Rhinolophus ferrumequinum: one gene and its partners. The protein of the gene in region 2 purifies or fractionates together with the protein of the main gene of each other region. This does not show direct contact. Links are inferred from orthologs where the notes say so. Each region holds a gene or a part of one and is shown on either strand. Other genes may lie near its edges. The genes, in order: SF3B1, LARP7, NCL and CCNT2.

What was found.
Region 1: the proteins of LARP7 (region 2) and SF3B1 purify together in Homo sapiens (affinity purification with mass spectrometry; 4 studies listed by BioGRID and IntAct, with this or other methods). This does not show direct contact. The link is inferred for Rhinolophus ferrumequinum from reciprocal best matches to the Homo sapiens genes LARP7 and SF3B1.
Region 3: the proteins of LARP7 (region 2) and NCL purify together in Homo sapiens (affinity purification with mass spectrometry; 4 studies listed by BioGRID and IntAct, with this or other methods). This does not show direct contact. The link is inferred for Rhinolophus ferrumequinum from reciprocal best matches to the Homo sapiens genes LARP7 and NCL.
Region 4: the proteins of LARP7 (region 2) and CCNT2 purify together in Homo sapiens (co-immunoprecipitation; 3 studies listed by BioGRID and IntAct, with this or other methods). This does not show direct contact. The link is inferred for Rhinolophus ferrumequinum from reciprocal best matches to the Homo sapiens genes LARP7 and CCNT2.

What each region holds. Positions count from the first base shown.
Region 1 is NC_046291.1:33,139,512-33,147,804, reverse strand, and holds the start of SF3B1 (splicing factor 3B subunit 1), read right to left. Parts: upstream 3,143-8,293; 5' UTR 2,993-3,142; intron 1-2,992. Other genes in the region: COQ10B (coenzyme Q-binding protein COQ10 homolog B, mitochondrial), read left to right, coding at 3,413-3,591, 6,618-6,767. UniProt on the Homo sapiens protein: Component of the 17S U2 SnRNP complex of the spliceosome, a large ribonucleoprotein complex that removes introns from transcribed pre-mRNAs.
Region 2 is NC_046301.1:269,100-276,763, reverse strand, and holds the start of LARP7 (la-related protein 7), read right to left. Parts: upstream 3,143-7,664; 5' UTR 2,998-3,142; intron 2,817-2,997; exon of another isoform or gene 2,669-2,816; intron 1-2,668. Other genes in the region: protein ZGRF1, read left to right, coding at 7,155-7,178. UniProt on the Homo sapiens protein: RNA-binding protein that specifically binds distinct small nuclear RNA (snRNAs) and regulates their processing and function.
Region 3 is NC_046291.1:6,950,677-6,958,266, reverse strand, and holds the start of NCL (nucleolin), read right to left. Parts: upstream 3,098-7,590; 5' UTR 2,922-3,097; coding exon 2,904-2,921; intron 1,650-2,903; coding exon 1,533-1,649; intron 1-1,532. UniProt on the Homo sapiens protein: Nucleolin is the major nucleolar protein of growing eukaryotic cells. It is found associated with intranucleolar chromatin and pre-ribosomal particles. It induces chromatin decondensation by binding to histone H1.
Region 4 is NC_046291.1:83,225,276-83,233,547, reverse strand, and holds the start of CCNT2 (cyclin-T2), read left to right. Parts: upstream 1-5,140; 5' UTR 5,141-5,180; coding exon 5,181-5,338; intron 5,339-6,128; coding exon 6,129-6,210; intron 6,211-8,272. UniProt on the Homo sapiens protein: Regulatory subunit of the cyclin-dependent kinase pair (CDK9/cyclin T) complex, also called positive transcription elongation factor B (P-TEFB), which is proposed to facilitate the transition from abortive to production elongation by phosphorylating the CTD (carboxy-terminal domain) of the large subunit of RNA polymerase II (RNAP II).

The DNA of each region.
Region 1 (8,293 bases), on a different chromosome or scaffold from region 2:
TGGGGTAGTATGGTACCTATTTCTTGCAGTTACTATTACTTTCTTATCCCCTTTTTGTCACCATAGTTCTCCAATCCCTGTTTAACAACGTCCTTACATTAAATTTTCTATTTAAAATAACTGGTATAATTTTCCTGATTGGTCCCTGACTTACAAAGTCAGTCAGTAAGGGCAAACTGTCTAGTTAATCCTCTTTGATCGTCTGATTTTTATCAGAAACTAACATCTGTAATAGTATTAATCTCTTGTAACTCAGTTGCTGATTTAGTCAAGGAAGGTTTTCTTTCAACCTAACATTTCACAAAGATAATGCCTGTATGAAATCATTGAGCATGCTAGGAAGATTATTCTATTGATCAAAAAGGTGACAGTAATGAGTTTATGTGAATTTAAAAACTTGCTTTATTTCAGAAAAATATATGTGATATTTAAGTAAAGGTCTTGTTCTGTGGTTAAAATTCATCCTATATTTGTTTTGACTGGAGCGTTGATTAAAAACAGTATTAACACAAAATCATAGCCATCACTATTTACCTGAAGCCTTTCTGGTTCTGTTCAATTTAAATTCGGGGTCAATGTATGATTCTAAGTGGAAGTCAATCAGGAGGATTTCATTTGGGAAGATCACATGAAAGGCCATCTATTTATATTTTTATTACAGAAGATTTTAAACATCCACAAAAATTATATATAATACTATTATAAACTCTCCATATACCCATCATCGAGTTCAATAATTATCAACTAATGATCAATTAATTTTGTTCCATCCACTTTACTCCTCCACCCCACAAGATTACTTTAAAGCAAATCAAAGACATATTTCACCTGTAAAATCTTCAGTATGAATGTCTACTGTGTAGAGAGATACATTTCAGTCGAATTTCCCAGTTTTGTATGCCTTTTTCTGTTTAGTTTGTTCAAAACAAAATCTATTAAATAATGCCTCTTAAATATTTTAAATCTTCAATAGTAGATGTAAAATCTACTCCCCTTCTTCCTTCTTTACTTGACATTTATTTGCTGAAGAAATTGGATCATTTGTCTTACAGAATTTCTCACATTCTCTATTTGGCAGATTGTATCTCTTTGGTGCCTTTAACATGTTCTTTTATTCCCTGTGTAAACTAGCATATCTAAAAGCTTGGCCAGATTCAGCTTCAATTATTTTTCCCAGAATATTTAATATGTCGTGTCGTGTCAAATGTATTTTTAAGAGCATAGTTAGTTTGGACTCTAAGATATCGCTTCCCATAGGTCTGTGCTGAGTTTCATTTACTACCAATCATTTCACATTGTATAGACAAACCTTTGAACCCCCAATTTGTGTAAGCACTGTCATCCACTGAAACTGGACCAGAGTTTATTATATTATTACTTTTAAGCTTATGACATACATGTATTACTCTGCTGAGAAGTCAAATGTGTGTCATACACTGTCATCTATTACAAAGATTCCTTTATTTGCCTTTAAGTTTTTTTTTTAATTGGGAAACTATTCAATTGGGTGGCCCAATTCAGTAGGTATTTTCATGTCTGGGAAGAACTGAATGAGAAAATGTTTGGCGAAATTAATAAAAGAAGGCCTTAAAAGAAGTGCATAAGTAATTATACTAAAAAATATGTTTAGCAGGCCTTCTAGTTAACATCACCCATGGTTTGAAATAGAACTTAGCAGAAGGTGGTAGTGTAATGCCTATATTTTGTAGGCACTGGCAACCACTGTAGTTTTTTAGTAGGGGAATTATATGATGAAAATTTGTTTTTAAAGGAAGACATTACTGAAAACATTCAAGATTTAAGTCAAGAAGAGCAGGGATTGTGAATTTGAAGGTAATCTGATATAGAATTTTTTGGATGCAGCTTCAAAACCACCTGAATCGACAAACACATCCTATGTTGCATTGAAAAGTGTTTGACAAACTTTGTAGCTGGGAATTTCAACTCACTTCACAAAGCATCAAGTAAGGGATGACTGCAATGAACAAAGCAAGAGTAGAAAATAACAATCATACATATACATAGCAGCTGAAATATGTCTGTAAATGTAACTCAGATCAAGTCACTATTCTGCCCTCAACCTCAAATGACTTCCCTTCACACTTGGAATAAAATCCAAAGTTGGTACCATTAACCTCCCAGGCACTCTGACAAAGCCCTCACTACCTCTGATCTCATTTGCTACCACTCTCCTCCTCACTCACTGTAACCCAAAGCCTCTGCTCTTCATAAAACAGGGCAAAGTTGTTGCACTTGCTGTTCTCTCTACCTGAAGTAACTCCCCCCACCCAATATTCACGTAATTCACTTCCTCACATCATTTAGGTCTTTGTTCAATATCACCTCCTCAGCGGCCTCCCTGACCACCCTACATAAAGCAGTGCCTCACCTTACCCCTCTTCATCGCCTTACCTTGCTTTACTTTTTTCTACATCATATGATCTGATATTGTGTAGTATACTAATTGGTTTTCCCCCTGGAATATAAGCTCTATGATGGTAAAGACGTTTGTTCACTTATCCAGCACCTAACACGGCAGAGTAAGGGCCACAAAATATTTGTTGGCTACATTTAATCAAGTATTTCATTTACTCCTCAAAACTGCAATAGATAGTACTGCTATTCTCAGTTTACAGGAAACTGTGTGCACAACGGTTAAATAAGGACCTGGGAACAAAAGGGTTGGGGAAAAAAAAAACACGTCAGGACTTGATGACTGACGGATTCCTGATATGGGTGAATCAAAGCAAAGCTGTCTGGTTTTAATGGAATGAGGGAAACCCAAACCATACACGAACACCAATTCAAATGCTGGCCTCGCAGGAAGAAGCAGATAGAACTGAGTATCTTCCCTAAGAACGTGACCTTATGTTGCCCTTACAACCACCCCACGGGGTTGCGCCGCAGGTACTGTATTAGACAATCATTACCAGCAAGACTGACCGCCACACTTCGCAGCCAGGAGCGAGGGCGGGTCCGGCTCAGCACTCACCGGTTTGGACAGTTACATAATTAACACTGAGAATGTCCGGCTTCCTCCGCCCCGGGGCTGGGCTCACGTGCTGGGCCTCGCGACCAAGAGCAGCGCCCAAAAGAATCCCCGCGGTTGGCAAATCCCGGGAAGAGTTCCAGCGCAGGGGGTGGGGTGAACCGTCACCGCGAGTCTTACGTAAAGCGTCGGAGCGGGCGGCGAGAACAAGAGGCCGGCCGGGGAGGGGGTGTGTCCAAGAGGCCTGTTGCTCCCTCTAATTGGCGGGCAGAATGACCCGCGCGTTTACACTCGGCCCTACGGCGGTGGGAGCGTGCGTCAGCTTTGCGCAATCGGGGTGAGAGGAGGAGCGTGTCCGGTGGCTCATGGGGCTTGCGGATTGGCTGAAAGGCGCCGGAGCCAGGCGACCTGGCCCAGCCGGAGATGGGCGGTGCTGTGGGCTTGGTCCTGGAGTTGGTGACCGGCTTCAGTGAGACGATCATGGCAGCTCGGACTGGTCAGAGGGCCCTGAGAAAGGTGGTCTCGGTCTCGGGTTGTCGTCCAAAGTCGACGACAGCAGCTGGAGCCCCCAATCCGGCGCAGGTGCCTGCGCGGAACGTCAGGTAATAATCAACTCGGGCGCCGAGACGTGGGTAGTTTTCCACCCAGGCCTGTTGAGTGGGAGTACGAGGGGGGATTGTATATTAGATGAGGCGGAGCCAGATCCGGAGCGTTTCCGCGTCTCTGGAGGGAACTCCTGAGTTCAACATTTAAGGGACTCAGGCGCCGCGCTCATCACCCCGGGCCGGACGCTCGCCGGCCTTTCCCGGCCGCCCCGTCTGTGTTTGTGGCTCACTGCCCTCGCGAGAGACGGTGAATCATCGGCGTAGCGACGTTGAAACAGCTAATAAAGCAATTCGCCGACCTGTGCCTTTAGGCTCTTCCGGTCCCTTCCCCTATGGCCTGCTGCTTCTGTTGTCAGAAAGTTTTATATTTGCCTGTGAGGGTTGCGGGCTGCTGGGCGTCTTGGAGTTTGTGGCCTGGTGTGAACCCCCTTCTGTTCCTGCTGAGTGCCAGATGGCCAGACGAGCTTTCCCAGTTTCTGGTAGAGGTCTTTGCCCCTGCCCTTTGATTCTTGCAAAACTAAACGTAGGAGACGTGGGGGACTTGGAATTTTTTTTCCACTCCACTGTAACTTACAGGTCCTGTAACCTTGAACCAGAGTCTGCCTCGATTTTTGTTGTTGTTGTTGAGTGGGTGTGTAAATGCATGTGGAAAGGTGAAGAATTCTGTATTTCCACCACTTAGTTTCCTTTTAATAATAACATTGTAATAAGTTATGCTGAAAAATTAAAGTTAGTGTTTAAAATGAAATGAATTGTAGACAGTACGAGATGAAGGGAGAAAACACGAATCTGGTTGAGCTCCAGGACATTTAGATTCCATGAAGAATTTTTAAAATGCCTACAACCCAGCCAACTCATCATTTTAGACAAATACTGGTTAAAACTGGAATAAAATCATTTCAGGTCGTTTACTCCTGTTTTAGGACATAGCCTGAAAAAGTAATTCCAAGCAGAGCATAGCAAACGTTATCGTGCTGTTCAGATCTGCTTGTTTTTTGTTTCTCCCCTTCCTAGGCTTCCCCCACCCCTCCAGTTCAAGCCCTGTTTCTCTGTCTAGTGTAGGACACAGCTCCCTAGCCCATGCTGGTATTATGAGCCTTGCACGCAGTGGGTCGCCGACTGGATGTCCATGGCAGCTTGTGGCAGCTCTCACTGGCTGCCGTCTGCTCACGATAGCTGCCGGCCACTCACGATGGCCACCGGCCGCTCCTGGCAGCACACGCTGCTTATGGCCTCCCAACTCCAGGGAGAGCTGTTGTTCACAATCTTAGCTGTAGAGGGTGCAGCTCACTGGCCTGCGTGGGAATGAAGCCAGCCACCTCAGTGTTGGGAGCACAGCGCTCCAACCACCTGAGCCACCAGGCCCGCCCCTAGCTTAACCATTTTCATTGCTCTCTATTTCATTGCCTCTGGAATAAGCCCATCCAGTTTTTATAAATAGCTTTAAGTGTTTAAAAGTTCTTTTGTGTTACGGACCCCAAACTTGTCTCCCTCTACTTGGGCTTTTGTTTTACCTTTTGGAGCCGTATTTTCAGGTATCAACCCTTACTTTCCAGCTGAATATTTCCAGTTTCTTCGACCATTCTTTGTTTAACTTGATTTTCTGTTCTTCCCCACTCAAACTGTAGGGTGTCTATGTCCTTAAAGAAATTTTATTTATATGTAAATCATACTTTATATGGATAAAATTTTATATTTGATAACATAAAGAGATTTCACCAGGCCACCCCATTTCCCTTTAAAAAATAATTTGAAGATTTAATTTAATGAAATCTCTCTTACTTGAAACTCTTCAACAGCTTCTCACTGAGAATAAATTCCAAATTGCTTTATCCTGGGCAGTAATCCCCAGCATGATCCAGCTGCAACCTGTCTAACATTATTTCAGACACTCCCCGCCTGCTGTACTGCTGATACACTGTTAGTCTTTTGTAGTCTGGACTCCCTGCTGCCTGGAATGCCCCCTATCTCCCTCTCCTCCATATATAACTCTATATGTTACACACGTGTATGTGTTTACATATAGGCACACCCATTTATTATATACATATATACCTATGTCTCTCTTTGCATGGCTATCTCCTTACCACTATGTGTCAGCTGAAATACAACCTCAGCTGACTTCCTAGACCCCGATCTAAAGGAAGTCCTAATTGCATGTTCCCATCTTCTTTCTCTTTTAAGCACTTTTTTTTTGGAATCTTCAGCTAGAATGTAATCTTCATAAGACTCATGTTTGTTTTATTCACCATTATATCTATATAGTCACCATTATATCCATTATATGTCTAGCACAGAATAGAAGCTCAATAAGTATGTGAACTAATTCATGAATAGTAGTGTAAAATAGTTATGCAATAATCTCATTAGGGAAAGACTACAAATATTTAGGTGAACAAGGGTATATCGGGGAATCTGGATTCAGAAGTACCTCAAACAATTAAGATTATAATTACCTTGGCATATGTTTTTACATATATGCACAAAGTGGAGATCAGAAAATAAAAGGAGAGCAGAGTGACAGTTCTGACAGGGTCATCAGATCTCCAATCTGAGAATGAGACCTAATTTCAAATCTAATAGAGTAAATCAAGAATTAAGGAACCCCTATGGATCCAGCTGGGGAAAAAACCTGGGTAGATGAGTTGAAAAATACATAATGAATATTCTAGCAAGTGTATAGAAGAATACGTTGTGACACATGACTATAGACCAAAAGCCAACTTTTTGGGATAGATCCCTTTTGTGCCAGAAGCTTCTAACCCTAGCTATAAGCTGTTATTTTCAGTTTTCTTTACAGTGCTCAAAGAAGCTTGTTTTTTTTTTGTATGTGTGTGAGTGTGTGTGTGTGTGTGTGTGTGTGTGTGTATGTGTGTGTTTCAGGAATATTGTAAAGTTGCAAAGCCTTCTGAAGTGTGATAGGTATTTTACAATCTCTAATAATTTGTGTTTACAATTTCTGTAATTTGTTTTCCTCTTAATTTTCGATGTCTCTCTAAATCAAGTAATTTTTGTCTTTTTAGATATTTAGCTTCCTGTGGTATACTGATGAGCAGAACGCTTCCGCCAAATACTTCAGTGTTGCCTAAGGAGATATATGCAAGAACTTTCTTCAAAGTAGCTGCACCATTAATAAATAAAAGAAAAGAATATTCAGAGAGGAGAATTATAGGGTTTGTATATATTAGTTCTACTAAAAGAGCATGTTCACAATTTTCTATAGAGTATCATAACTTTTTTTTTTTTCTGGATTCTCTTCTTATAGACTAAGCTCTGTTTCTAGGTTGGCCTTTCCATAGCCCTTGCTGTTTTATAAATATTTGTTGAATGAATATAATTATATGGTAACTTTATAGGATAGATTTAAACCTTGACATGTAAAGAATGGACCTGTTTATGACCTGCATTGTTGTACACTGTTCTTTTCTATAGTGGCAACATTACTGATACATTGGCCCAGATATATTTATATATCTCCCTCACATACGCATATACATAGATGTACATACAGGCATACTAAGAGGCTCCTACCATCTAGAACGAAGGTTGGCAAACTTTTTCTGTAAAGGGTCAGATAGGAAATCTGTTAGGTTTTTGTGGACCATACTATCTATCTCTGTTGGAGCTACTCAACTTTGTCATTGTAGTCCAAATATTTTCCCTCATATATGACATAAACACATAATAATAGCTACCATTTATGAAACATTGTACACTGCCAAAATTGTTTCATTTAACCCTGAAAAGAATGCTTAGGGGTATTTTTCAATGATGAATGAAGAGAGTGAAGTGGAGAAGTTAAGCAACCTGCCTAGGGTCACATGGCTTACTATGTTTTAGAGGAGATATTTGAACACATTCTTTTCTGACTACAAAGTCCATCCCCTTGACTTCTATGTTGTACTACTTTCTTAACCTTTGTAGACTACAAAGGTTAAGAAATTAGCTTCCAGGATACAAGGTTTCAAACTTTTTCATGGGACTTATTTCAGTATTTATTTCAAAGTGTCTGAAAACCTGGGGAAGGTAGGTTTTTCTCCCACTCCCTCTGTTGTGGGCCTCATTTCATGATCATAAAGATTAATTTAAATTAATATGTAAAGACTTATTCTGGCATATTCAAGAAATACCTTTTTGTAATTTTGATTGTTATTATTTAAATTGCTTTATAATTTTGAGATGAATTATGTTTTAATTATGTTGATTCTTTATAACCAAGAATAATACATATCTAGATCTGATTTTTCAGGTTGTTTTTTACATGATTCCATGATGCAGAGTGGTATTGTTTGTTTGTTTATGATTTAAGCCCTAAAGTTTTTTTTGTTGAATTTATTTCTAGATATTTTGCATTTCTATGGTACTGTTGTTTTCTGTTTCTTGTTAGTATAGGAAAAGTATTAATTTTTATATATTTCATAACAGGCTACCTTCCTGAAATCTGAATTGATTCTCTCCTGAACTGATAGTCATATCACCTCCCAAATGATAAATTTACCTGATTATTTTCCATTCAGATGCCTCATATTTCATGCTCTGATTTAATTACTTTGACTAATACTTTCAGAACAATGTTACATAACAATGATTATAGCCAGCATCTTTGTCATATTTCTAACTCTAATGGGAATGGTTCAGGTATTTTACCATCTGTGGAGAGAATCATGTATTCTTCTTTGGGCTAATTAATACGGTTATA
Region 2 (7,664 bases):
CTTAACTCCAGGCCCTGCTCCATCTGGCCATCTGGTCAGGGGTTACCTAACTCCAGCTCCTGTGAGTTCTTCCCAGCAGACCACCCCAAACACAACACGACACCTTGCTCTTTGTGACATGCTAAGGCCATTCCCATCTCAAGGCCTTTGCTCTTGCTGCTCTTTACTTTCCACCACATCTGTAGGGATTACTTCTTCATTCAGGTCTTGCAAACCACTGGCTCAATGAGGCTTCCTTTTTGACCCAATCTTAAATACCACTCCCCCCTTGCTACCTTAACCCTACCCACCCCCAGTCACTAAGGGCAGGAGGCACTTTAGCTTGATCACAACTGATGCATTTATTGAATAATTAGTGTATTTAAAAGGATCTTATAAGCTGTAAAGTGTTAAGCATTTCAAGTTCTTTTGTAAAGGGGTAGGATCATAAATAAAATACAAGCATGTCTATGATTATCACTATAACAGGATCCACTGCTAACTTTCCCTTCTGAAAAAAACTACAAATTATAAAGGGCTGACTACCAGCTCACCAATTCCTTTGCTTGTCAAAGCTACCATCTAAGGAAATAGTGGACAGAACTGCATAAGCACAGAGAGTCACAATTCTCCCAGAAACCAGACTTTCCCCATCATTCTCATATCTCAGCCCAGAGACTCCCTCCTCCATTCCTTCTCTGAAGGATTATTTTTGTGGCTTAGAGAATTAAATTCAGAAACTCTTACCTAGAGTGTATAATACATGTTTGCAATTGACATCTTAAAAATAGTATATATTCTGTAGCTAATCAAACATACCTTCAGTTATAGGAAAGCATGGATTTAACAAAAGATGTAGGACAATTTAGCTTTCCTACTACACCATGGCTGAGAAGATGAGAAAGTTACAATCTCCTTACACTCTTAGTCCTCAAAATCTTTCTCCACATCCTGTGGGTAACCAGGATGTGTGTGGTCAGTGCACACATTGCAAATCAAACTTATTACCTTTCTTACCCAGGCCTGTTCTCACCACCTCCTCTGATTTAAGGATGACACATTCCACTGAGTTCATCGAGCTATTTACTAGCTGTATGGATTTTGAGCAAATTACCGCATCTCTCCATGGTCTATAAAATGTGGGTAAAAAGTACACCTGCATAACAGGGTTTTGTGAAGATTAATGAAAGTAATGTAAATAAAGCACTTCAAATTGGCACTATACAGCACACTCATTAACATGTAACCATTATTATTTTATCATTTAACAACCTATGACTGAGTCCCATCGATTCCACCTCTGGAATGGCTATCTCCAGTGTTTTCCACAACCAGTGTCACTATAACATGGGAACAGTTTATAACCTGTTCTAGTAGTCACCCATTCTTCACAGAAACCGTGTTAACTTGTCTAAAACACAGAGCCCGTGTGCGGCCAGATCTAATTCTGTGACTTTGATGTTATACAAAATATTCAGCATTAGAAATTCCTTAGCACCTTGTTGGAACAGAACACATGTTTCAAAAAAATTGTTAAATAACCAGTGACAGCTAACTGGCGTCTAAACACGGGCTTTAAAGAACAAAAGTTACTGTGTAACAATGCAAATTACTTTACATACACTGTTTTACATCCTCACAATCCCACTGAGGGGGTTCTTCCAGCTTGTAGTGACAGAGGCGCAAAGGTTAAGTGACTTGGTCAAAGCTACTGGCTAAGCCAGCTCAGGCCTGACTTCCACACTGCCTATGGTTTAGAGCCTCTTGCTACCCCATAACCATGCATTCATTCCATGTTCTGACTCAGGAATTCTTACCCAGAAGTCCATGGCGTTTTGGGTGGGTTTCAAATATTCTTGTGAATATCATGAAGTTGTTAAAAGATAAATTTTAACGAAAAGGTAAAATCCAGAATCTTGTACAAACAAAACATGACTACATGTCAAAGATTTAAGCTAATCAGGGGACCAGTTAAGAGTTAAAAACCAGTTCAAAGGAAAACTTAAAAAGCAGACACATATATAAGCACTCAGGAACACTGGAATAAATTTGTTAGTAGATGCAAAACTGGCCAGGGCAGTAACTGAAAAATTAACTAGTTGCAAGACCATTTCCATTGTTGTCTTTTTCTACAACTTACACAACAGTAAAACAGCTCAACGACCAGGAAAGGCAGCGATAACCTGGAAGAGTGCGAGACAAGACACCCAGTATTTTTTTCCCTCGGCCATTTCAGAGCCTCACAACTTTTGCTGACAAATTACACGGAAAATGTTTTGACATGTACATGCATTTTCTTGGGGTGCTCGTCCACAGCTTTTATGATGTAAGGGAAACGGTCTGCCAAAAAGGTTAAGAACGTTGTTGTAGTGACAGCTGACTATTCAAGGACACGCCAACACTTGCTTGCCTCTGCGCCGTTGCTCTGAATGAGTCTTGTCTCACTTGTCTCACAAACCTCTATCCCGTTTTCCAGGCCCAGGTTAAATGCCATCTCCCACCAGCACGTCGCCCCTAATGAAACGCTCATCTGTTTTCCTTCCTCTGAGTAACGCAGTTAGTACCCGAGTACCCAGCACTTGTTACTTGTTAGCTCCCTTCCACAACTGGAGTTTCAACTGTTTGATGACAAGGACTTGTATCCTGAAAAAAAAAATGACTTAATTTTTTTTAAAACACAAGTCCTCACTTTCGCTATCCTTTGGCCGCCAAAGCTCAAATGTGTGAAGCAACAATTTCTCGTGTAACGACCGCCCCTGTCGGCAACAGCTCTTCCGCACGGACGCCGCCCGACGCCGGCGGGCCCCGAACCTCCGGCCGCGGAACACCGCGCGGGGGCCCTGCCCCTAACAACCGGAAGTCCCGCGCGGACGGAGGACCTGCGCGTGTGCAGAGAACTAGGACCGCGCGCCGACTGGCTCGCGGGGGGGGGGGGGGGGCGGGGTGGCAGGGACGACAGGTGACGGAACGGATTAACCTCTCCCACCTGAGCGACCCTAGAGTCCACTCGGAACTTACTCTGTTCAATCTTCAAAACACTGGGCCAGACACTGCGTCCTTGAGCCCTTCGCGTCTTCGGATTCTTACAGTCGTGGTTGTGTCCGCGTCATAAGACGAGCGACACGGCTCCGCCGGATGCCTCAGAAAGACGCGCCGAGGGGCTGCGCCGTCGGGCTGCGCCGTCGCTACGTCCCAGGCACGGGCGGCTCGGAGGCGGGGCCGCGGAGGCTCGCAGCCAATGAGGAGTTTGATTGGCGGCTTGGAGGCGACAGTGCCGGGCTGAATCTGGTGCGGTCCCGGGTTAATGACGTCACAGTCTTTCGCGGGAGAATTCGAGAGTGAGTTTTGGTCATGGATGGGTGAAGTGAGCTGTTCCCGGGTTTCAGGGAGGCGGCGTCGTTGATTCCGGGCGAAGGGACGAAGGAATAGGCTCCGCCGGAGCAGACGGCGAGATGCTATGGGCCCGGGACTGACGGTCTCCGTCACAGCTTGCTCCGACTCCTGGTGATGTTATAGTTGGGCCTCGTCTTCTCCGCCTTTCCCGGCCCCTGCTTTGCAGTTCCCGCAGACGTTTGAAGATCAGGGAGGGTTTTGCTGTTGGCTTTTAGGACTGACAAAGGGTCAAGCCTGCTGTCATTTCTGCACAGGATCGTGGTCATGAGAACCTTGGCAAATGAAAGGTGGGCTTGTTTTGGTTATTTGGTTATTGGGTTATTTGGATGGTTTCTTCACAGCATATTGGGTTTGTGATTCTGAAACGTTTAAACCTGTAAGCCTTTTTAGGTATTCGAAAGATCCTGCTTGTTCCAAAACAAAAAGACCAAAAATATCTCGTCGTACTTTCCAGAAGCAGTGGTTATATTTTAGTGAGAAGACCGAATTTCACACATCAATGTATAAACGGCACAATAATAATGTTGTGTAAGTAGGTGTGTATGTCTGTACTTCCGTAATGATCACAGAACGGCTAGGATCTCCTCACACCTTTAAAAACTTCTTTGCACGTTAAACTTTCACCCAGTAAAGGTGGGTGTGGGGACAGAGCCCCAAAAAGCAGTTTCCAGGCTCTCGGCCTCACATAGAAAGGTGCTGGCTCAGGTAGTAAATGGCCATCGACTGTGATCAAATGGCCATCAGCTGTGGCTAGTTGGCCGTCAGCTGTAACCAGTGAGCCATTAGCCATGAATATAACTGCCGTGGCTAGGCTAGTAGCAAAAGAAAAAGGGGGGAGCTAGCAAGAAGATGGTGGCTGAGCCTGCAAGCGGCACAGTGAGGGTTGAGAATTGTGTTGCTCCTGGTCCCCGTGTCTCCAACCCAGCCGCCAGTGACAGTATAGTGGTATGACTCCCCTACCTATGGCTTCGTGGGTGTTCCTTTTTGGCCTAGCCATATCCTGCGTTCTTGTGTGGGGAGCGGGACCAGAGACCCCGCCGGACGCCCCGCACGACACTTGGCGTAGTCGGCAGGATCCCCTGCACTACAGTGGGTCAACACTTGAATTGTTTGACAGATGCAGATGGATGAAGACTTTCAGAAAATGTTTTCTTCTTGCACCTCACTTAAATTTATGATGCTGTTGGCTAAATCCATTTGTCCTGTTTAATGAAGTCAGGACTCTTCTAAATATTTTAAAATCCAGTCAGCCTTTTTTTTTTAGGTTTAATCCTTGTAATCTAATTTACCATTTATGAAAGTTTGGACCTTCACAATTTCTTTTAAGATGTAAATCCCACAACTAATTTAGGAAAACAAGGGGGAATTTATCTTGCAATTCCTAAATAGCCTATAAGTAATCCTGAATTAGCAAATACTGTATTCCTAATCTATAAATTGTGATGAAAATACCTGCTCTTCGTGATTATGAGGCCGACAAATATGATATGTAACGTGTCTAGTCTAGTTCCAGCCTGACATCGTAGGTACTCAATAACAGTCTTATAATGTAGTATCTATGAGTGTGAGCACCAGTTTTGACTACCTGGCTTTGAATTCTGAATCTGCCATTTATTTACTTTACGATCTTGGCAAATTACTTCCTTGTTTTATAGCTGTTTCCTTTTTGTAAAATGAATGTAAAACCTATGATCTGCACCATGAGGTTCTGAGCATTTAAACACCTTAACAATGCCTGCATGTAATTGCACCAAATAACTGGTAACTGTTGTTAGAAATCTAATTAACAACTGCCACGTCCCAAGAGCTGTCCACACCATATCATCTCGAGTCCACATACAGAACTGCAAACCCGTTCAGTGGCTGGGCCCCAGTGGCACTAAAAGCAGTGGTGAATGAGGTGCCTCTCTGGACCCCCAGTTATCTTGGCATACCTTAGGCATCTAGCAATTCCAGTGGGCTGGAGTGGGGGGACAGGATATGGGAGTTGCATTTCTGTAGTTCTGGGTCCTGCCCTGTGGGCTCTGTCTGCAGCAAGTATTCATCTCACTCGCCTAACCCTCACCCCGTTTTTTCTCTCACTGGCTGCCAGAGCGATCTTGGTAAATCCCAAGTCAGATGATGTCATTTTATCCTGAAGATCCTGCCATGGCTTCCTGTTGTCTCACAGAAAATCCACACAACTCCGCCCACACAGGAGGCCCTCAGAATCCTCTTTCTGCTCCTTTTCAGTCTGTGCCTGCACTGCCTTACACCTGGCTCGCTGACTGCACTGCTCCGCGTTCCTTGATCCAACCTTGCTGTGTCTTCCACAGGCTTTGATCCGTATCGATTCCTGTTTGGAAATTCCTTTCCTGGCATCTCTCCTTGGTTAGAGGTTATTTCATCTTAAAGCTTAGGTATTACGTCCTTGGGAAGCCTTGTTTGATGCCCTAGGCCGAGTTGGGTGCCCTTCCTGTGCTTATTCCTGTTATATTGTAATTACTGTTCATCACTTCTCAATACTCCTTGAGATTGGAAATAGTATTTTCATTTTTGTCTCATATAGTAAGGTCTGGCTTTTTGGTCTGGCACATAGTAAGGACTACATACATATATGTAATTTATAAATAATATGTAGGTGGCCTATTTTATATCTATAAATGAGGAATTGAATCCAGAATTGCAAATTATTGCTCTATTGACCCCCACCCCCAGGTCTTACAGGGTCTGTGCTCAAACTCAAACATGTACCACTATCACCTGCAAGGCTTGTTAAACCACAATGACTGGGTTAAACCACAATGACCAGACTTTCTGATTTAATAGGTCAAGGCTGGAACCCAAAAATTTGATTTCTAACTACTTTCCAACTCATGCTGTCATACCTTTAGAAAAGGGGTGTCCAAACTGCGACCCGCGGGCCAACTGCGGCCTGCAATTCATTTTTAATTGGCCCGCAGCAAATTCCAAAAATTTATTTAGTTTACTTAAATAAACCAGGTGAGGCAATACCTACTTCACCTCGAGTGAGTGGCCCGGCTATTTATGTATTTTACCACATATGGCCCTTGGTGAAAAATGTTGAAAAAAGTTTGGACACCCCTGCTTTAGAACCACAGCTTTCGGGGAAAAAATTTTTTTTCTTTCACATCTCTATTTACTTCTTCAATTTACCATCAGTGAGTTTAGATTTTCAAATTTGCCCACAATGACAGTGTTATCCATTAGTGTAGAGTACAGTACTCATTGCAACGATGTTGAAAAGACTTTTTTTTCCTTGCAGAGGTATTACAAGGTGTATTGGCACTAGGTACCGTGATATGTTGACTTTAAGATGTAAAAGGAAAAATTTTAGAGTCAAGGGGGCCATCTTGTGGTGACCACATCAATTCTGAAAACTTAACAAATCAAAGCTCTTTCTGTAAGGAACCAAAGCTGGTGGGAGGGGGAGTCATTTTCTGGTACATGTTATGGCACCTGGAAAAATGTTTTGCAGACTAATTATTTATATATTTTACTTAGTTTTCTTTTTACTTGGGAAATTTTTTTTCCACAATGTGGTGTCACTCTTGTGTCCTCAGTGGCAGATAATTTGATTGCACTGTATTTCCCTTGGTCGTTACAGTCTTGGAACTCTTAGATTCCACTCTTCTGTCAAGAGTTGTGGGGAAATTTTTATTTAATACTGATTCTTTTCATCAGGGTGGAATATTCTTTGTCACTTTTCATTTTAGGTGGCATAAATAGTTGAATAACCGCTAACTATTTTCTGGACTGACTGATTTATAACTTCTGAAGAAATGATGGAAAGCCAAGAGTTTATCGTAAGTCTTATTTCCTCTTTTCTTCCCTCTTCTTCCACATTTCATAAATGTTGCTAGAGTTGCCAGATTTTGCAATAAATAAACAACCTTCCCCCAAAAAAACCCCTAAAAGCAGGACACTCAGTTAAATTTGAATTTCAAGTAAAACAGTGAAGAAATTTTTAGTATATATGTGTATGTCTCAAATATTGCGCTGTATTTTATCTTGCAACTCTGTCTCTTGTCTACTATCCACATTTGTTATCCAAAGTCCTTTGGAACAAATTCCTGGGTGGCTGGGGACCAGGAAATCATTTCTTTCTCTGGAAGAACTGGCATGTCTCTTCTGTCTAGATCAACGGTTCTTAAATTGCTTGGTCTAGGACCCTTTTTTGCCCTTAAAAATTATTGAGGACCCCAAAGAATTTTTGATTGTGGGGTTTAGATCTATTGATGTGTTTCATATTAGAAATTGTAACAGAAAAGTTTTAAATGCTTATTAATTCA
Region 3 (7,590 bases), on a different chromosome or scaffold from region 2:
TGAAGAATAAAACAAACATAAGATTCTAAACTCAAAAAGGGAGCCTTGGTCCCATAACTGAGTGTTAAATTCTGGCTTTGCCTCTGCTTCAAGACCACATGCATTAGATCTATGTTGGCGTATTAAACTGGAGGATCATGTCACATGTCCTTCTGTATACCTGTGAGGTCAATCCTCATTTTCAGGTAAATACCCAAGCATAAGAAACACTTAACACTTAAAATACCACTAACCCAGACCTGTGAATTTCTGTACCCCATACCTTATAATTGTTTCAGCTTTGAAGCAACATCCTAAAATGGACTCTAAGAAGTTCTGGTCAAGATGGCAGAGTAGGTAAACATGTTTGCCTCCTCCCATTACACGCTAAAATTACAACTAAATTACAAAATATCAACATGGAAAACCATCTGAACATTAGCTGAATAAAAGTCCTATTAACTAGAGGAAGCCACATCAAGACTGGTGTCTACATGTCAAAACTCAGCCAAGTGTACGCCTTATATATACGTACTTATTTATATTTTAATTATATCGCAATGAAACTATTAATAAACAATGCTGTCTAAAAATTTTTAAATGAACTCTGGAAATAGATTGCTGAAAATAGTAATAGAACCAACATTACATGTTGTTTCAAGGATTATGAATTGGTTTCTACAACTAAAAGCCTTCCACTTACAAAGCTCTACATGTTAAGTGTTATTAAACCATTGGGGATTCTTACTGTGGGTGGTGGTATAAAATTCACTGGAAGCTCATTTTTAGGACCAGAGGTAAAATGAGTACCAAATAGGCTGGATAGTCAATCCTTACAAAACCAATACAAATTTAAAAAATGAGCACTTAGCTTGATAAAAACATCATTCATCTACAGTTAAGTCACACGCAAAGCCACTTTTTGTTGACTGCTGGTTTTATCAGGTAATGGGTTAAAAAATAAAACCTTTACTAAATTCTAAACAAAAACCATGAGCAAATACAGCAGTTAATTGTCTTGATAGTAAGCAAACAGTCAGAAGTACCAAACAGGGTCAACGTTAACACAAAGGGAGGTGGCAAACCTCACCTCAGACCAAACTGTAACAGTGGCTGGTATTACAAACCTCATATGTGAAGAACAGAAACCTGCTTGGAGACTAGGAAAGGAACCTGGTAAGGCTAACTTCAGACCTCAATACAATGCTCAGTACTGCCACTTATAGGACAGGTAGTTGTCCAGGCTGTTTCCTCATATAGCATGTGGGGCTAACATGTTTAAACTGGAAAACAGTAATGATTTAATAATACATCATCACACTAAGCCCTGCAGAGAGTACATGAAAAGACTCCTAATCTTTTCTCTCATCCAAACTTACCCTCATGGTATCTTGACAAGTCAATGAAGAGCTTGTGAAAGCAACCATTACAAGTCATATACACGAGTGAACACAATCTTATTTTTGCCAGTATTTTCAGATATCCAATACAACCTGTTTTTTCTCTCCATTTTGTAGTTTAACATAATTCGGCATTAAACTGTATATAATTACCTCTTCTCCGCTGCTTTCATCTTCTTCATCTTCTGACATTTCCTCATCTTCACTATCTTCTTCTATCTCCTTTGGGGGAGGAGCCATTTTCTTGGGGTCACCTTGATTTTTACTGGCCTAAAATAGACATGGTAGCACATTACACCTCCCACATTTTAGGTAACTCATATTTTGCCATCATTTACAGTACAGTGCAGTTATCTCCCTTTCTCAGAACCCCCTTTTCATACTGTTAAATACCCCCGTTATCGTAAAAACTATTCTTGATGTCAACGTTAGCAATCTCCCACACATTTTTCCTGTCAGGTTCTACAAAAACCAATCTTTGGATAAAGAGGCAACTTCAAGGAAATGATCTCCCTCGTCCTGTTGCCTTTGTTAAGCACACCCGTTTTAAAAACTACGCCCAGAATGGAACTTTACATGAAGTACAATTTTTTTCACTCAGTAGCCTAAAATTGGACTATTTTAATGGCCAACAATCCACAGCCCTTCACCTAAGGAAAACTATCTTTAAAATGCCTTTGGTAGGGCTGGCCGGTTAGTTCAGTTGGTTAGAGCGTGGTGCTGGTAGCACCGGGGTTTCCGGTTCGATCCCCGCATGGGCCACTGTGAGCTGCGCCCTCCTTTAAAAATATGTATGTATTTTTTAAAAAACATTTGGTAAATTCTGTCACCTTATTCCACTACCCTCGTCTGAATTTAAATTAAGGCAACTTTCAAAAACACTTAACTACTTTTGGTCTTCTCACGAAGTGTTCCTTTCCCAGGGAAATAACCCCGCCCCTTCCAGACCCACCGGGTCCACGTGGGGGGACTCACAGGTCACCACGTGCGCGCAATCCGGCAAGGAAAGCACGCGGCAGGGCCACCTTCCAAAGCCCACCTCGGGTCCCCCCACCTAGCCGGAGCCGCGATCCAGCGGTCGCTGGGCCTCCAATTGAAGCAATCCCGCCACTCCCCGCCTTACGGCTGGGTCCCCTCCGGAGACGCCGAGACCCACTTGACGCGGCCCACGTGGCCAGCCGGGCGTCGGGGCACGTGCGTCAGGAGGCGGGGCCCCGCTCGCGCCCGTCGCAGGAGTTTGGCCTCATCCCCCCATCCTGAGGCCCAGCGCCCCCTCCCCACGCTCAATCCCTGAGTCTTTCCCTGCCTCATAAACCACCCGCAGCACCTGCCGAAGCTCTTCACCTCGCCACCAAGTAACCAAAAGCCGCGAGAGCTCCCCGCTAATCACGCGAGACTTCCCACAGCATGGCGCCCTCGAACGCGCCTGGGACGGCGCAGAGGCCCTCCTCCTCGCGGCGCCGCGCGCGCGCTCCTCGAAAAACAGGCCTCGACATCCGAGCTTGGGCGAGCAAAGCATCTTACCTTTGCAAGCTTTACCATGATGGCGGTTTATGACGGCGGAATGTGTGGCGGACGAGTGGCGCAAATGAGCCCAGAGGAACGCAACGACGTCTATGGCGGCCGCTGGTACTGAAGATCCGGAGCGCGTATACTTGGCTGCCAGCTAGAGCTCGAGACTGAGGCGAAAGACTGAGCCTGCCCAGTAATCGCCTCTGGAAAGGCGACGACGGCGACCTCGTGACTCCGTTTCAACCAACCAGAGTTCGCGCTCAATCCATGAGCCAACCGTGAGCCTCTGTCGAGAACGGCGCGGGGCGGAGCGTGGGCGGGAGTGGGCGGGCCGAGGCGGCCAGAAGAGAGGGAGGAGATTCGATTTCGGCGCCCTGGGGGCGGGACTCGCTTTGTGCAAGGCCGGTGCTGATTGGACGGTGGGCGCGCGGTTTCCGTAGTGCCCCTCCGTAGCCTGCGCTCGTGGCGCCTGCGCCGTGGGACGGACGTTTATTGGCACCGCGTGTGCGGGATCCCGCGGGCGCTGGTACCTGCGCAGTTCGGTTCCCTAATGCGTCCGGGGTCCTGAAGACTCAGGTGGAGTTTCTCTGCCGCCCTGTCCCGCCCTTCACACTCAGCCTCCCGGAGGCCGTGAAGAAAGGAGTTCGCCCCCGTTACCGGGCTGATGAGCCCCAGACCTGAAATTCAGGGACCACAGGTTCACAACGCCTTAGTCGGAGGTCCACCGCTTGCCCCACCCGCCAACGATCCACGGCCAGAAAAATCTCCCTATCTGCAGGTGATTCCCTACCGGGCCACGTGCCTGAGGTTGTCTCCTGAGAGGTGTTAATAAAGGCAATTGCGTATATTCGTGAGGTTTACTGTGGCCAGTGCATAAACATTACATTAATCTCAAGGGTTAGGTTATTTCTTCCAATGGGGAACAGGCTGGAAAGAACTTTCTGGCGGACACGGAGTGTTAGAACTGGGGTGGGGAGAGGAACTCGGTCAGGCCAACCACAGAGCCAGGTCTTTGACCACTCAAGTTCCCTCTGTGGGACTAAAAATGTCCGGCGGAGAAGTTCGTGTTAACCAGATGGTCCAGGAGTAGGTGAAGAGAGCCAAGGGAAAAGTTCCCTCAATGGTGGAGACACAGAAGATTCTTTGTTGAGCTTTTGCCGATTACTCAGATAGGTCACTGTGGGCAAACTAATTCGTGCCAAACTTAGAACATTTCCTTTAGAGCTTACCTGAGATACATCCTGGGCATCTGGTGCCTAATTGTTCCTACAAAACCAGGATACTTTCAGGTATGATGATATTTCCCCAACTGAACTGATAACTCAAAATCATCTCTGGAGATTCTAATTAAAGAGGTAGGTCTGCGTTGGGGCTCAGAATTTTGTATTTTAACAAAGGCCCATGGGGATTCTTATGAGCAATCAAGTTATTTTGCAATTCTTACTAGAATGCTCTTGGGAGTGAGTGTATAGGAGTTTCCCCCTGGGGCTCTCTGATCAAGGAGGAGGCTGGGACTGGTTCTGTGGTCTGCACCCTGCTTTCTGATCCGTGGAAAGCCCCTGAGGAGATTCACGATTTGAACTCTGGGGTGGGGCCTCAGGGAACACTTACTGGGTGACAGGACAGAAAGAACAGCACGAACCAAGGCATGGTGGAATAAGACCCCAGTGTTCCCAAGCAGTTTGGCACAGAGCACGCCGAATGCACTCATGGGAAGAGGCCAGAGAGATGCGCAATGGGCATGATCAAGAGATAGATGAGGACAGCCGGATGGCTCAGTTGGTTAGAGCGCGAGCTCTCAACCACAAGGTTGCCGGTTCAATTCCCACATAGGATGGTGGGCTGCGCCCCCTGCAACTACATTGAAAATGGCGACTGGACTTGGAGCTGAGCTGCGCCCTCCACAACTAGACTGAAGGACAACTTGACTTGGAGCTGATGGGTCCTGGAAAAAAACAACAGTTACCCAATTAAATATATATCTTTAAAAAAAAGAGAGAGACGGATGAATTTTAGAAATACTGGCATGGCTGGCTCCTTGTCATTCAGATCTCAGTTTACATCGCCTCTTAAGAAGCCTTCCCCAAGTCTCCAATGAAAAGTGCCACCCAGACTCCCTATCACGTCACTGTAATTGAGTCTTCTACAGGTACTTATCAACACCTGTAATGTTTCTTGGCTGTTCATTGTTTGATCCCTCCCCAGCCATGGCAACACAGACTTTGTTCCCTACTGTATTCCCGGAGTCTAAAGCATTGCCTGACACAAGTTAGTAGTGAACATTATTTGTCAGTGAATGATATATTTCTGTAAAAGAAGCAGTGGAGAGAGTCAGTACAGTTTAGTGTTCACGTGCCTTGATTCGGATCAGTCTGGGATAGAAAAATAATATTTACTACTTATGTAATGCCTACTAAGTTCCAAGCACTATTCCAGTTATTTATTAATTCATTTACTCTTCAAAATAACCTTTAAAAATAAACCACTGTTTTACAGAAACTCGGGCAGAGGGAGGTAAATTAATTTGTCCAGAGTCACAAAGCTAGTAAGTGAAGGAGCTAGGATTTAAACTGAGACCTTGTTCTTTCATTGCAGTTTCTTTATAAAATGAGGATGATAATAGTATCTGCCTCTAGGGTTGTTCTGAGTATTAAGTGAGATGCTGCATGTATTTTTTGAGGGCATATAATTAATCCTTAATTAATATTAGCCATTATTATTATTGACAGATTTGGTGACTTGGAGAGAGAAGGAGAAGGGATCATTTATTTCCATTATCTGTTGAGTGTACATATATAAGCGGAGTAACACAGGGGTTGTAGGGTTGGGTGGAAGCTAATGAGTTCAGTTTGGGATATACTGAATGCACGATGATACCTACTGCTTCAGGCAATTGGCAGAGGTGGTCGCATGGCTGCAGACACAGATGGTATGAGGAACCTGCCCAGAATAGCAGCCGAGTGAGGAGAGAAAGCTGGGCAGATCCAGGCCAATGGTGGGAGACATTTGGGGTGGGAGAAGGCCCAGAAGCAGAAGCACAGCTGGAAAATGGGAGTTTTGGAAGCCAAAGGAAGAGAGGGTTTCAAAAAAGAGAAGGAAGATTAGTGTCCGATGCCACAAATAGGTCAAATAGGTGAGGCCTAAAGCTGGTCTATGGGATTTGGTACTAAGAGATGTTGGAGATTTTGACAAGACTTGTTTCAGGGTGATGGAGTGCTGCAGCAGTCGGAGACTTGAACAGGTGGGAAGTGGTGGTGATAAGTGTAGGATGGCCTTGTACAAAGCACTCCTAGGAGAGGAAGTGGTCGCTGTATTGGTTGGCTGAGGTTACCTGCTGCCCCCAGAGCTCCTGGGCTGACAGCACTCTGCACTTTGGCAGAGGAGGGAGGGCTTGGGTGGGGGGAGAGGTAAGGCGACCACATCCCCTAGAGGCAGCACTCTAATTCTTTTCCCCGACTTTTCTCACTGGGGAATTTGACCAGCTTCTGCCACCAGCCCAGAGCCTCAGGAGTACTTGAGCAGCCACTGGCCACCTCTTCTGGTCACTGTCTGACACAGCCCATTGCCATGGCCTGGCCAGCCCCTACTACCTACAGTACCTGTTTGCACTAAGGTACCCACTCTGGGCATCCACGGGCACCCAGAGACACAGAGAGACCCTGTCGGCCACAGTAGGCCTGACAGCCCATTGGAGGAAGTCTGCAGATGTTCAGAAGGGTTAACTCCAATCCCCAGATCCAGGCCTCAAGGAACCCAATGCCTCAGTTCGGCTCCAGCAAAGAAAAATGACCTCAGATATTTAAAAGAGGACTTCAAGCAGGAATTGGTTATAAGGTTGGTAGAATTGCTGAGAAGCCAAATGGGACGTAAGGCACAAGCAGGAAGCTGCTGCCACCCACAGACTAGGGTCCCCTGGAAGGCTAGAGCCACAGTGGAGGGACCAGAGCTGCTTTCAGGTTAGCTGCCAAAAGCAGAGGGTGGGAGGACACCCCACCTGGCCTGGAGGGGAATTCACAGCTTCAACTCCAGAGCTCTGTAAGCCTGCCTGAGGCCAGAGGGCAGGGTGTCTGCTCAGGCTGTGAAGGTGGGCGGAGCCAAGTTCCTTTTACTCACCCTGCCTGCATTTTTGTCTTTGTGGGTTCCCTGAGGCCTTCAGGTAATGTCCAGAACTTTCAGCCAGGTGCTGAAGTACGATCCTAAGCTCTTCCTTTCCTGCCCTTGGTTGGCATTTAGGCCAGTGTTTCCATGCATGAGGCAACTTGGGCTCAGGGGCCAGAATCAAAGGACCTGGCCTTCATCTCTCTGAGGCAGCCTGAGAAGCTTCATCTGCCAGCACAGAGACTTCAGGGGTCAGCCCTCGGCTCCCCAATTGCACCAGTGAGCAGGGGACCCCTGAGTCTGCTGGAGGAGGGCTGGTCGCAGGCCCCAGATTATCACCAGCCCTGACTCCCCGGCTGCACCCCCTAGCAAGCCCGTGGTCAGCTTTCCTTTCTACATCCAGGAGCTTGGGCCCTGCTAGAGAAATCCTGTGATAACACAGACCAGGGTCTCCAACCATCCTGCTCAGCAGTTGTTCAACAAGCCTTCCAGGAGCTCCGGACGATCATGGCTCTCATTTCCATCTCCCTAGCATCTATTCCAAGTCATCTCTCCAGGACTCCTCACGGCTCCTCCTGTCGGCTCCCTCTCAACAGTTACC
Region 4 (8,272 bases), on a different chromosome or scaffold from region 2:
CTACTTATCTGGCCAACTTTCCAGCTTCATATCCCACCTCTCCCATTGCCCACAAACTCTGTTACAAGCTCTTTCCTGCCTAAAATCAATAAGGAAACATTGGCCTTAAACAACACATTAGACCAGTTCGACTTAACAGATACATACAAAACATTCCATCCAAAAGCAACAGAATACACATTCTCCTGGAAATATCATATATTCAACCACAAAACAAGTCTTAATAAATTTAGTAAGGTTTAAATCATATCAAGCATCTTTACCAAACACAATAGTATGAAACTAGAAATCAATTTCAAGAAGAAAACTGGAAAATTCACAAATATATAGAGATTAAACAACATGCTACTGAATAACCTATGGGTCAAAGAAGAAATCAAAAGAGAAACCCAAAAATACTTTGAGACAAATGAAACTGGAAATACAACATACCAAAACTTATGGGATGCAGTAAAAGCAGTTCTAAGAGGGAAGTTCATAGTGATAAATGCCTATATTAGTAAACAAGAAAAATCTCAAATAAACAACCTAACTACACCTCAAAGAACTGAAAAAAAAAAAAAAGGAATGAATGAAGCCCAAAGTTAGTAGAAGGAAAGAAATAACAAATATCAGAGTGGAAATAAATGAGAGACTAAAAAGACAATAGAAAGATCAATGAAACCATGCTTTTCTGTGCCCATAATCCTGAGGACATTTAGCCTCTGAGATGTAGTTAATGATATTAAATTCATGCATACTTTAGACATAAATGCTAAAAACTTGACTCCCAGTTTTTTTACTTGAGCAGTTGGGTAGATTTATGATGAGGAAGACAATGGGATAAACAGGTTTGGGAAGGAAGAGAATCAACAGTTCTGTTGTTGGACTTCTTATATTTCAGATACCTGTTGGACATTTAAGTAGGAATGTGCAGTAAGCAGTTGGGTACACTAGTCTGGAGAGTTCCGAGAGAGGTTGGGGAGAGGTCATCAGTATACAGAAGGTATTTAAAGAAATGAGACAATGAAATCACCTGGAGAAAAAGTAGAGGAGAAAAACCAAAAGAACCCAGGACTAATTCCTGGGATTTGGCAATACTTGGAGGTTAGATGAGAAACCAGCATTGGGCACTGAGTGAAATAGGAGGAAAACCAGAAAAATGTGGTATTCTGAAGTCAAGGGAAGACAATGTTTTAAGAAGTCCTAACAGCTTTAGGCATTAAAAAAAAAAAAAATTAAAGCTATAATACTATGGTACTTTAGAGAATCATATGCCCCAAATGTAACTCAATCCTTTTATCCCAAAAGTTAGTTCCACTTCCTATACTATCAACTCTGATTAAGGGCACCACCCAGTCACCTAAATCCTCTCTTTCACCCATATAAAATATGTCATAAATCCAATAGATCCTACCACTTTTATATCTTTCATATCTTATCTATTCTTTCTTTCCTATGGCTCCTAACTGAATTCAAGTCCTCATCTCTCACCAGGACTATTGACATAATCTCTTATCTATATTAGACTCTGGGCTTAATCTGGTACAATCCATCTTCCACCCTGTTGCTAGGGGAAAATTTCCAAAGTACACACCTAATCATATTTCTCTCTCTCCTTAAATTCTTCAAGACCTAAAGTGGTGGTTTCTAGGCTTTGGGATTTCATTGATCAGTAGCTCCCATCCTTAAAAATTGTACTGATATCTCTATTAGAGCACACTTCTGAATTACAATTGCTATTTTCCCACTAGACTGGGACTTCCTGGAGAGCAGGAACTATGCCTTCATTCACTCATTCGCATGCATTCAAAATATTTTTTGAGGGCCTGCTACATATCAAAAACCACCCTAAGGGCTGGAGTAATGTAAGTAAAAACGAACATGATTCCTTCCCTCAGTGGTGCTTATAATCTAGTTAGGAAGACAGGTATCAAATAAGCAACCAATCAATATAGAACGTCTACAATGACAAGAGCTATGAAGGAGCACACAGTGTGTAGAGAGCTTATAATAAAGGATTTAGCCTAGTCAGAGTTGGAGAGAGACTTTTTTGAAAGAAGTGTTGGTTAAGCTGGTGTTAGAAAGAGCAGACAAAAGCTAAAAGTTAGAGACAAAGAGGAGAGGGGAGGAGTATTCAGCACAGAGAAAACAGCATAAATAAAAGCCTTATGGCAGGAGAGAACATAGCAAGAAATCAGGCCACTGAAGTAAGAAAGCAAGACATTCTTGGTATAAATTGGCAAGATCATATGGGGTCATAAGTAAGCTGAAGAATTTTGTCTATCAAAAAGCAATGAGGTTTTTAAGTAGGGGATGACACAACTAGAGTTGAATTTTGAAAAGAAACTGGTAGGTAGAGTATTCTTGGTTAGCAGTTTTTTTCTTTCAGTACTTTGATGCCTTCTTTTTAATAGCTGACTAGTATTTCACTGCATAGATGTATCATTATCATCAAATCCTCAATTCACAAACAATCATGCAATTATGAACGGCTACTGAGAATATTCTTACTCCATGATGTTGAACATGTTTTCATGTGCCTATTTGCCATCTGTGTATTTTTATTGTGAGTGTTCACCTCTTTAGCCCATTTTCAAAATGGGTTCTTTGTTTTCTTTGTTGAGTTTTATGAGTTCCTTGCGTATTTTGGATACAAGTCCTTTATCAGATATGTAGTTTGCAAAAATTTTCTCCTTGTATTTTCACTCTCTTAACAGCGTCTTTTGCAGAACAGAAGTCTTTATTTTTAATGAAGTCCAACTTAATTTTTTCTTTCATGGGTCATGCTTTTGCTGTTGTACCTAAAAACTCATTGCCAAACACACGGTCGACTAGATTTTCTCCTGTGTTATCTTCTAGAAGTTTTATAGTTTTTCATTTTACATTTAGGGCTATAATCAATATAGAGGTAATTTTTGTGAAAGTTGTTAAAGTCTGTGTCTAGATTTTTTTTTTTTTTTTGCATATGAATGTCCACTTGTTCTAGCACCATTTTTTGAAAAGGCTATCCTTTCTCAATTGAACTGTCTTTGCTCCTTTGTCAAAGATCAGTTGACTGTATTTGTGGAGGTCTATTTCTGGACTCTCTACTCCAGTCCATTGATTGCTAGGTCTTTTCTTTTGCCAACATATGCTGTTTTTATTACTGTAGCTTTGAGGTTGGGTAGTTTCAGTCCAATTTTTTCTTTGATATTGGGTTAGATATTTTGGGTCTTTTGCTTTTCCACATAAACTTTAGAATCAAATTTTTTTATATATTTACAAAATAACTTGCTAAATTTTTTATTGGGATTGCATTGAGTCTATAACTCAAGTTGGGAAGAATTGACATCGCATGATATTGTCTTCTAACCCATGAACTCAGAGTAGCGTTCCATTTCCTTAATGAGTATTTTACATATTCATATAGTTTTCTACATATTTATCCTGCACATATTTTAGATTCATGCCCAAGTATTACCTTTTGTAAATGGTATTGTTCGTAATTTCAAATTTCAATTATACATTGCTGGTATATAGGAAAGCAATTGACTCTTACATATTAAACTTGCATCTTATAATCTTGCCATAATCACTAATTCCACCATTTTTTACACTTTGAGATTTTCTACATAAACAATTGTCAGCTGTGAACAAACTCAGTTTTATTTCTGCCTTCCCAATCTGTTCACCTTTTATTTCCTTTTCTTTTCTTATTGTATTAGCTAGGACTTCCAGTACAATGTTGAAAGGAATGGAGAGGGGATATCCTTGACTTAGCACAAAAGCTTCTAATTTCTCACCACCAAGTCATGATGCAAGCTGCAGGGTTTTTGTAAGTGTTCTTTATCAAGTTGAGGACGTTCTCTTCTATTCCTAATTCACTTAGAGTTTTCATCACGAAGGAGTGTTGGAGATAGACACTTTATAAACTTTCCTTTACATCACTCTATCCTGGAACTTTTAAACACCGTAAGATTTGAGACAAGCAATGTAGGTAAGAAATTAAGTTATATAGACAACTGTTCGTAACTACCTACTGCAACCAAATCAATAGCTCAATACTGTAGTGTAAGAGGGACAGACTGAACCACGATACAGCAGTACAATGAATATAGGTCGCCCAAAACAATGACAAAAGCCTAGAGTTTTAATCAGGAACTCATTTAAAAATATCAATTGCCTTTCAAAACAAGTATGTCTGCCTATACTCTACTCTTTGGCAAATAGTTAAAACCTAGAAACTTTTTTCATAACAATGGGTATTAGCTCAGAGTGGAGCTCTACAGTATTTTCTTACAGGGACACAAGAGGTTAGTAAACAGTTATGTACGGTGTTACTGTATTAAATACCAAAATATAATAAAACTTTTTACTGTCCCTCCTGTATTATCTGCTTCTCTTTTAAATCGTAGCGGGGTTTAATAACACATCATTGTTACGGCCTCAAAACCTAGTCTACAAACTCAGGTTCTTCCAGTTACTAACTAGATAACTTTTGGCAAGCAATTAAAAAAGAAAATAAACCCACGGCCTGCGTAGTTGTGGGATTCAAACAAGATAACGTAGGGGAAAAACACTCCAGTGCGACACAAACGTGGAGCGTTGTTTCTGATGCACTCTTGCCCAGGTAGGTCCTTCTCACAGCCTCCAGTGGGGCGGAGAGCATTTGTCACAGGCACGGGAGTCGAAAGCCTACGACACTGCGTAGACCAACGTTACAGAAAAGTGGTGGCTGCGGCGTGTGGCGTCGACAGAACAAGGTGTTACGCTCCTGGCCCAAGGACCGCCCGAATTTCAGAATCCACGCCCAAGCGCACAGCGCAGCCGCCCGCCCGCCACTCACACGGGCCGACCCCAGGCCAGCCTCTTCTCTCCTCCCCGCCCCTTGGCCCCACCAATTCTACACCCGGCATGCACCGCGCCGACCTTTTCCTTCCGCCAACCCCCACCTCCGGGCGCCTCCAAGTGACACGCGACGCGGAGCATTGTGGTCCTGTACGTGAGAGCGAAGCCCGGGACAGGAAAAAGAAAGCAAAACACCAACGCGAACCGGTAGAGTGGCCCCCGCGCACGCGCACCGACGGCGACGGGGGTGGAAAGGGGCGGGGCGTGGTCTACGGCGAGCGGAGTGGGGCGGGGTCGCGCGGCCTCGGCGGGGAGTCCGCGAGCCGGGAGGGGCGGGGGTGGGTGAGGGAGCGGGCGGAGGAGGAAGTGTCATGGCGTCGGGCCGTGGAGGTTCTTCTCGCTGGTTCTTTACTCGGGAACAGCTGGAGAACACGCCGAGCCGCCGCTGCGGAGTGGAGGCGGATAGAGAGCTCTCGTACAGACAGCAGGCGGCCAACCTCATCCAGGACATGGGACAGCGTCTCAATGTGTATCCTTTCCAATTCTTGGCCCTCCGCCCCTCACGCCCTGTCCCCCTCACTATTCGCCCGGCCGCCGGGCCTGGTGTCCCGCGAACATGGCGCCGCTGGCTCGGCCTTCGGTGGGCCTCGGCAGCGCTGTAAGGGAAGGCAGGCTCAGGCTCGTAAGGCTGCGAACGTCCAGCGGAGGAGGAGAGGAGTCCGGGATCGCGGGGTGGGAGGCTGCGTTGTGTAATCTGCTTGGGGCCGCGCGTGGTAGCGGCGGGGGATGGAAGTGCCGCCGCGGCGAGAGGGGAATCCTAGGGATTATCGCAGCGAAGAGGCGGCTGCTTGGACTTCTCGTCCGAGCAGGGATTGAAAGGTAGGAGGGTTAGCTATGCTGAAAGGCGTTAAGTGTTCGCAGCCTTTCCCCGCGTTCCTCGCCTGTTTGATGGCGGTCCTCTTGTACCTTGGGAGCGCACTGGAGGTCTTTATGTTCTTGGCGTGGTTTTGTAGGAGTGTGCGCGCGCGGTTTAACTGGTTTTGAGTTAAGTCAGTCGTAACCATTGATAAATCCTTCCTCGGCTCGCATAATAGCAATATTAGAGGGAAACAGCAGTTGTTACTATCCCTGTTTGGTGTGGAGCCTTCTCCCCTCCCCCGCACGGGGTTTTATTTATTTATTTTCTTACAGGTTTGGGTTGGTTTTGTGTGAACGGGAGGCACTGGAAGAGAACTATAGGTCGAGAATTTTCCATGAAAATTGTTTTGGAAATGAGACCATGTTTTTCTCAGATCTATTTCCTAAATGTTACGATTCAGCTCTCAGCTTACAATAAACACTGCGATTGTTTATATGCACAGGTTTTATATGTACCATTCTTTCACCAAGTTCAATAGAAATGTAAGTACTATTTTATTTTCTGTTTTTACTACAACCAAATTTGCAGTAAACCGTTATGCAGAGAAAAGTTGATTATGGATTTTACTGTTGGATTTAGTGTTCCAAGATAACAGTGAAGATAAATCTAGTGATGAACGTTTTGCTTCAAATGCGGGACTTCTGGTTTGTTTTTTAAATTTTTGGTGACAAGCTGCCAGGCACTGGGTTAGGCTTTGCTAGGTCTTTTGAGCTAAAAAATAAATAAGAAACATTTCTTTACTCAAAGGATTTATTACGTTGGTATTCATTTAAATCTTATACTTTTGATAAATTTCAAATAGTAATGTACAATGTAATTTGAGCAAACATAGTCATTCTGTTTTACATCTTCTAATTGTGTTAGACTGCTGTCGTTTCAAATACTATGAAGTGGGCTTAATGTAATTGTAACTAAGTGTAATTAGTTTGAAATTATCTTTTAAAAGAGTTAAATGTTTAGCAGAAATATTTCATTTGCTAACACAATTTCTTAAGGTGTCAAAAGTAGCTGGTTATCACACAGTAGCATTTGTTGTCTGCTTGAACTTCTGGTGATTGAAATGTCAAATCTTGCTCAAACATACTATGTCAGAGGTGTGTGTGTGTGTGTTGAAGTAAAACTTATTCTGCAATACTAAGGCAATCATTTTGAGCATAATCTGTAAATCTTGGCAAATTGAGTAATGGCGTTTAGTTGAAGTTTTTATTTTAAGTTATGAAAGATGAATTTGATGTCTGTTATTTTCAGAGTAGCATCCATACTGTGTTGCATCTGTTAACAAAGACAATTTTGTATTGTTTAGAAATGTTTATTCCTACATTTTCACTGTATTTTTTGTCTTTTTATCACAGCTAATTTAAGAATGCTATTCTGCAAGGTGTGTGTAGAAAAGTGGACCATAGAAGACTTTATTCTATTTTTTTCTGGATTGTTATTAGGACCTTTTTGCTAAGAAAACAGTGTTTGAAAAGATCCTTAAAATATTTTTTTTGAATTGGAAGGAAAAGATAATTTAGATTAATTCCTATTCTAATCTCTTGATCATAAGTCTGACTTGGTTTAGTAGAGTGGCATATAGGTTTGTCTTGAACATTATTTTTTGTGTACATTTTGGTCTCTTGCAGTCTTAGTTGCTTCTACTCTTCCTCTTTTAAATCTGCATGATTCTTGATCCATTTTCGTAGTTAATGTCTTATGCAGACTTAGGTCAATGATGGTGTTATGGAAGAGAGAGGAAGCCTTTTTGGTAATGACATTTAGATTGAGAGAATTACATTTTTATTTAAATTGGCTCCAATGGCAGTCGTGAACTAATGAATACTAATATAAATGTGGCTTCTCATTAGTAGCCCAGGAAAATGCTGGTAGAAATCACAAGTCAAAATACTTCTGTAAATTCTTTATGTGGCTACAGATGTACCATTTGCTGAATCAGGCTCCTTTTCTACTTCCAGTAAGTGATCTCACCACAGGATTACACTTCTCATTTTGAACCCTCCCTCTTTCATAATTTGTCTCTATGGACTGGTTGGTGTGCTTTAAAACGAGTTATTTTGCTTACAGCCAAAATTCACAGGTTTAACTTTAAGTTAACTGGTGAAGTCCAGGTCACTTGCATTTAAACTTTCACTATTTTATTTAAATGCCGTCGTTCAATAAAAAAAGCAAGAGTATTTTTATTACCTTACTTAGTGTCTTATATGTGTATGAAAGTAAACTTCAGCATTTTACATTGAGTCGTTATTAGCAGAATAATTGAAATCTGGTGGTAATTTCTATTTTGAAAAGTAACATTTCACTCTTCATATCTAACTGTTGTCTTCTTTTTTTTGTCTTTGCTATTATATCCAAAGTGGTTTTTAAGTTTCTGTTTGAGCACTTGCATAGCCTCACTCTTATCTTTTTCCCCCGATTCTTTTAGGGTAAAGGGGGTGGTCTTAAATTGAATGTGAGTCAGTTTTAAATTCATACTCCCCGACATCATTGGGAAAAGTATTTTATAGGATTATAATGGAATATCATAGTAAACTTTGAACAAGCATG